2 linked regions of the Ovis aries genome follow. The protein of the gene in region 1 binds, or shares a complex with, the protein of each later gene. Links are inferred from orthologs where the notes say so. Each region holds a gene or a part of one and is shown on either strand. Other genes may lie near its edges.

Region 1 (3,520 bases):
GGAGAAGAGCTGCCCGTACTGCTGAGAGTAGAGGGAAAGAAGATTCATTTTATTGGTGGTAGTTTAAGCATCTGTTGTTGGGCAGGGTGGAGTCCATGCTGGAGGGCAGGGGCTAAAGTTTCTAGAGAATCAGCCATGTGCTGCCTGTTGACTGTCTGCTGAAGACAAACTTTTTTTATTTGAATAATATTTTAATTAATTATAGGATTGGAGTATAATTGCTTTACAGTGTTTTATTAGTTTCTGCTGTGCAACAAAGTGAGCTAAATGTATACGTATACGCCCCCCGACTTGAGCCTCCTCGCACGCTGCCGTCCCCACTCCCCACCCGCCCCGCTGGCTCAGCACAGAGCCAAGCTGAGCCCTGTGCTGTGTGGCAGCTCCCCGCTGGCTGTCTGCGGTACGCGGGTAGTGTGTGTGTCAGTGCTGCTCTCTCAGAAACGCCCCTTGTGATTGTATGATCAGCTGGCGTTGGTCAGGCGGGCATGTCAGACCCTGACCATTGAGAGGCATCGTTAGTCCTCTCACTGTGCCGTGCTGGGACCTCTTGTCTTCACAGGCTTTAGTTTTTAATACAGTGTACTTGCTGTTTTTCAAGTTGTGGCCTTGCCATTTCATTGGTGGCTCAGAGGTTAAAGCGTCTGCCTCCAATGCAGGAAACCCGGGTTTGATCCCTGGGTCGGGAAGACACCCTGGAGAAGGAAATGGCAGCCCACTCCAGTATTCTTGCCTGGAGAATCCCATGGACAGAGGAGCTTGGTAGGCTACAGTCCATGGGGTCACAAAGAGTTGGACACGACTGAGTAACTTCACTTTCGTGAGCAAACCTAGTTTTTTCAGGTATGATTGAGTAAATAAAGAAGTAGTCCAGTGTGACAAGTGTTAATGTCTTGGAAAAGGTTTAAAGACTCTTGGTGGGGCATTTTAATTGGAATTTTTTTTTAAATTTAAGGAATACAGTTACTGTTCCTTAAGCCTCTTGGATGCAGAATGCTTCAAGCTGCCTGCCCAGGGATCATGGCTTGATCCCCAAATCTATTCAGAAATAATACCCAGAAATATACTTAAATTGCTTCAGCTTTCAAACTTCCTGAGTATCTGTTGACAGAAGTTTTAATGGTTTCTTTTTTCTTTATCTTTCTTGATGCTTAAGCTCAACAAATCATAATCTCTCCAACCTCTTCCTCTTTGGTGTGGGAATTGTTTCCATTGCTTTGTAGCAACATGTGAATTATATATAAGAGAAGAAATATTTGGTACTTATGGTCCTTAGGGCATATATACATGTTAAGTTTTTTGTTACTTGGGAATTGAATAAACAAGATTATTCGAAAGAATACTTTAGTGGTATCTAATACTAATTAAGAATACTGGGAAAGAAACCTAAGGGAATCAAAAGAACAAAGCCAGATGTGTGTTACAGCAAGATAGGCAGAAAGGATGGATTCTTTAAAAAGTAAATTATTAATGACCTATCACTGTCTTCTTTAAGTGGAGGATGGAAGTGTGAAACTGCATGAGCTCACAACTGAATTGTAGTCATGAAGTAGAAGTAGAAAGGAATTTTCTATGCACTGATGTCCTCTCTTAACAGGAGCGGACGATTGAACGCTTAAAGGAGCAGCGCGACCGAGATGAGCGGGAAAAGCAGGAGGAAATTGACAACTACAAGAAAGACCTTAAAGACCTGAAGGAGAAAGTCAGCGTGCTGCAGGGCGACCTCTCAGAGAAGGAGGTCGGCATCCCCCCAGGGGAGTGCGTGATCTGCTTAGTCAGCACACTGTGTGCATGCTGCTGGTGTGGACATAACGCATGCTGGAAAGGGTCTCGTGGGAGGTTTACAGAATCTGCTTAGAGCCATCGCTGTTTCAGGAAGCTTAGATGGAATGATTCATTTCCTAAGCCTTACCTCCTACCTCTTCCAGCTATCAGGAGTTGGTTTCTTACTTGTTAATGACACTTTGTAGATTCCAAAATAAGAGTACTTCTCCAGGTACATTTGGAGAAATGTCGTGCCATTGGTAAGAAAGGTGACAGATGGAGGGAATATGCACTAGGAGGAGTCTGTTTACAGCCACTCTTAGGCATCACCTCAACACCAGCAGGGAAACCTTACACGACTCTTGACCAGATAGGTGCCTTCATATATTTCCATCTCACTTCCGGAGAACCTCGTGTATGCCGCCTGAACAGCAGAAGTGCCTAATGCCTCATGATCAGATGGTCATGAGCTTTAGGGACATTCTCAGAGTTTTCTTTTTAATACCTTTAGGGAGAATAGAAATGTATAGAAATTGAAGTTTCTAATAGAATATTCCTTCTAAAAGAGAAACATGAGCGTGGCCACTAAGGTCGACTGCTTATATCCACAGAGCTTGACCTTCTTCCATTTATTTTGTGAGGATGGATATGTATTGCTAGAACTCCTTAAGTCACGATTCAGTCGGCCTTTCTTGGGGATTCATTTTGTTCGGTTAGGACTTGAAAGCCAGAGGTAATGCTGCTGTTTTATATTTTGTGTTCTTGGAAATATGTCAGTCTATGGTAATGGAGAGAAACTAGAAACCACCAGGAAAATAAATTTAAGAAGTTCAGTCTCCATTTGGTTACTAAATAGTGTTTATTCTAGATATGCGTTGCTTCTTTTAGGCTTCACTCTTGGATCTGAAAGAACATGCCTCGTCCCTGGCTTCCTCAGGACTGAAAAAGGACTCACGGCTTAAGACTCTAGAAATTGCTTTGGAGCAGAAGAAGGAGGAGTGTCTGAAGATGGAATCACAGTTGAAAAAGGTTAAAGAATATTTATCCATTTTCTTGCTCTGCTTTCAGATAAGAACAAGCAGAAAACTTTATAATATTTGGATGGAATAACTTACTAATGGAGTAATAATACTATTTATACCTTGATTAATTCTTTCAGCATTAATATCTTTACTCCTTATGAGTCCTCAAACTCTTAGAAAATTAGTAATTCAGAGTAAGATTCAAATATGCAGCTCCTTTATAGAGAAAGAAATGTAAAAGACCACAGTGTAAAAATATCTCAGTTGATATTTTTCTCCCATTAGCTTTAGGCTTCCTGGAAAGAGATAATTTTACAGTGATAATCACCCATATGGTGAATATTAGAATATGGTAGGGATACTTACTATTCGTTTCACTGATTTATTCCTCTGTAATATTTATACGGCCATTTGTAGTTTTCAAAGCACTTGCATATTTATTATCTCTGAGTTATCAACTCTGATTAACTGGGTCCACTTCATATGATTACTGATGAAAGGGGGGTCAAGCCTGGTGTTGACACTTTGGGTGGTGTTCTATTTCCATAATCCACCTGCAATGTGGGAGACCTGGGTTCAATCCCTGGGTTGGGAAGATCCCCTGGAGGAGAAAATGGCAACCCACTACAGTATTCTTGCCTGGAGAATCCCATGGACAGAGGAGTCTGGCAGGCTGCAGTCCATGGGGTTGCAAAGAGTTGGACACAACTGAGCGACTTTCACTCACTCATTCTTTC
Region 2 (3,520 bases), about 26 Mb from region 1:
CCACAGTTTGTCTGTCCTCACCAGGCTGTCAAGAGAGTCATTGGAGATAACTAAAGGAAAGAGCTTTGCAGGCTATAAGGCACAATCCAAGCATGTGTGATCCATGGTGCCTTCAACAATCCTAATTTTTCCTGTAGGTTCTAGAACCTCGTTTTAACGTAGAAACGATGGCTCAGTTACTGAACATCCCACCAAGTAAGACCCTGTTGCGAAGACATCTGGCCACTCACTTCAACCTTCTGATCGGTGCAGAGGCCCAGCACCAGAAGCGGGACGCCATGGAGTTACCAGATTATGTGCTTCTAACCGCGACCGCCAAAGTGAAGGTTGGTTCAAGCTCCCACCATTTTATAATTGCCTATAGCAAAGACTCAGTCTTGGCTCTTACCTGGCTATCCCATTTTCTTAGGTTTTCTAAGTTTTGTGAATGGGTTGAAGGTAAATGATTCTTCAAGAGTAGTTAGGAAAATGGATTTTTGAAGGCTTCCTTCTGGAGGGATCTTTGCTCAAATCACTTATTTTATTAGAGTAAACAGGAGTAAAGAATATGATGTTGGCATCTACCACTGATTTTTTTGCCAATGCGGAAAGTCCATGTCTTGGGTCCAATATTGATTGCTGTTATCCTGTGGATAAATCAAGCATAAGAGGAGGATTTTTTTTTCTCATAAATAACCAGACTTGCAAGTTAGGAAAGGATACTCAAGCAGTGATTCAAGGTAGACCAGCACAGAGTAGAAATCTTCAGATTTACCTGGATTCATGGATCATACCAAGTTCAGATCACTTTTTATTTTTTAAATCACTCTTCTGTGAACTCTTCTGAGTCTGTTATATCAATTAAATTAATGTGAAGATTGGGTTTATCAGTTCCTCCACAAACATGGCTCCTCCATGAACCCCTTTTAAAAGAAAAGAAAAAAAAAAAACACTCCCCCTACCCACTCAATACTTTCTCTTTAGCTCCCCTTCTCCCTTAAAAAAAAAAAGTGTCAGATTTGAAACCTCTGAAAGAGTCTGTTCTATATAAATTCTCAACATCAGCATCTCCTTGAAATACAGTCTCAGGTGCTATCCAGTGAAAAGATGGACTTTTTTCTTCTCTTAAAGTTTTCTCTCTGAAAATGAGGGCTTCTTTTGGCAGTTACTGGTATGGATAATCATAGTCTCACTCAAAAAGAAAATACAGTAACGGCTCTTTCCTCTTTTTGACCTTGGAAAATTGGATTCAGCCCTGAGAAATCTCATTGCATTAAGGTCAGTCACAATTAAGGCTCTTTGCTTTTCACAGTGACTACCCAGCTAGTGATGTGAATAAGGAGAACAAGCTTAATTTTCTGAGATTCATAATGAGGATCATTTATCATATTTGGGTGTTAATCATATGCTTGAGATGTCTTTGTTTTCCTTATACCCACTCAGTCATCAAATTGCATTTCTTGGTGGTGTGAATACTTAAATTATATGTGTTACTGGTCCTCTGTCATGTGAATTTTATCAAGTCCCTGGCTGTTCTTGTTTTTCTTTTAAAGCCAAAGAAGCTTACCTTCAGCAATTTTGGGAACCTGAGAAAGAAGAAACAGGAAGATGGGGAGGAATATGTTTGTCCGATGGAGTTGGGACAGGCATCAGGAGGGACATCTAAGAAAGGATTTAAGCCTGGTTTGGATGTACGCCTGTATGATGAGGATGACCTGGACCGATTAGAGCAGGTAAACCTAACACCATAGGCCTGTTTCAAAGTTCTTTCACTATTAAAACACTACGTTAAAACTTTGTGTGCTGTCTACTAACTAAAGATGTTTTCCTCAAATACCTAATAATAAAGATAATAGTAAGATAATAGCAAGCACTTACAGATTGTTTGCTATATCCCAGGTACTATCCTAAGCACATTACATGTATTAATGTTCAGGGTATCCTAAAACATAGGGAGCATTGTTATTCCCATTTTAGAGATAAGGAAACTGAAGCACAGAATGGTTTAGTAACTTCAGACAGAAGAGCTGGTAGAATTGCTGGGATGCCAAGCTGGCTTCAAAGCTTGTACTATTTACCTGTGTTATGCCTATCTCAGTATTAAGGAAATCTACATACTAAAACAAGTCAGGAATGGACACCTCTTACTCCTTAGCCTTTTCAGTATCAGGTCACGCATCTGAGTATTGCTTTCAAATGAATATTCTTTGGTGCCATTGTCAACATCAGAGCTTTGGGCTCAATGTGCCAGCAAAGTGTTTTTCTTCTTGTTTTTAATGTCCAGTTACAGTCGTAGGAGGAGATGGCTTCGGAAGTATTCTGTTGCTCCCACCCCATTCAGTGCCACTTGCGTTGTTTCTTCTTAGACTTGTGTTCATTTTGCTGCATTTTTCTTGAAATTGTGCAAATGAATGTCATGTCGTGGTGTGTTCATTGCAGATGGAAGACTCAGAAGGGACAGTGAGACAGATAGGTGCATTCTCTGAGGGCATCAACAACCTAACTGTAAGTTGTAAAATGAATTTCAAATGTTCTAAGAATAAGCTTGACAGTCACCCCAAGGGGGACTGCCTGTATAGTGGAGAGCTCAAGGTGCCTGGTGTGTGTGACTCCCACCTCCTTGTCTTCCAGCACATGTTAAAGGAAGATGACATGTTTAAAGATTTTGCTGCCCGTTCCCCCAGTGCCAGCATCACCGATGAAGACTCGAACGTCTGACCATAGCACCTGGATGAGAGCTGGGAGCCCTTCATCTTTGTTCCACTTTATTCCTCAGACACTCACAGTATCTACAGCAAGCCACAGACTGTGTATTGTTTATCATTCCCACTTCTCATGTGGAAGTGGAGATGGAAAGCAGGGACTAGGTGCTGATTCTAAAGTTGCCATGACAATTGAGACACTGGTGAATGAGAGTATAATTGTTTCTCCTCTATTTAATGTAAAAAAAAAATCTGTGATATATTATATTTAAAGTGTTGCATTTAATATGAGTATTTTACCATAGTCTTTCCATCCACATTCACAGCATGGAGGATTTGGGAAGCAGTGACCAGTATGTGAATGATTTTTGTCACGTCGATGTGATAGCACTGCGGCCCTTGAAGCAGGATGTTACATGCTTTTGAAATCAAATTGTGGAATTTCTTAGGCATTCAGTGTGCCCACTATATGCCAGCCACACCTCCACTTGCCTCTTATTGTCCTATTTTTATATATTTTTCTAAAATATATGTATATACTTAGTACATAGAAAATAGAACTTTTATTTTGTAACATAAGGAAGATGGTAAAAAGATCACGTGAAAAAAATACAATGATCAAAATTTTTGTATACCAGCTGTTTCTTGGAGAGGTCCAATGATCTTTCTTTCCCACAAACTGAATTCTAATGATGCTGATCATTCAGACTAAATTAACATATGTGAAATATCCCTTCTTTGATGACACCCCACAAAATTATTGAACAGCTTTTTAGAATTTCAGCCTTAGTCTTGGATCCTCTTAACTCATAAGGAAGAACCTGAGGGACATTTTAAGT

Evidence for each region.
Region 2: ERC1 (region 1) and PPFIBP1 share a complex: the UniProt entries of both Homo sapiens proteins name them as parts of the cortical microtubule stabilization complex. The link is inferred for Ovis aries from reciprocal best matches to the Homo sapiens genes ERC1 and PPFIBP1.

The regions. Positions count from the first base shown.
Region 1 is NC_056056.1:213,714,666-213,718,185, forward strand, and holds part of ERC1 (ELKS/Rab6-interacting/CAST family member 1), read left to right. Parts: intron 1-1,594; coding exon 1,595-1,735; intron 1,736-2,649; coding exon 2,650-2,790; intron 2,791-3,520. UniProt on the Homo sapiens protein: Regulatory subunit of the IKK complex. Probably recruits IkappaBalpha/NFKBIA to the complex. May be involved in the organization of the cytomatrix at the nerve terminals active zone (CAZ) which regulates neurotransmitter release.
Region 2 is NC_056056.1:187,715,175-187,718,694, reverse strand, and holds part of PPFIBP1 (liprin-beta-1), read left to right. Parts: intron 1-137; coding exon 138-326; intron 327-1,532; coding exon 1,533-1,712; intron 1,713-2,418; coding exon 2,419-2,697; 3' UTR 2,698-3,520. UniProt on the Homo sapiens protein: May regulate the disassembly of focal adhesions. Did not bind receptor-like tyrosine phosphatases type 2A.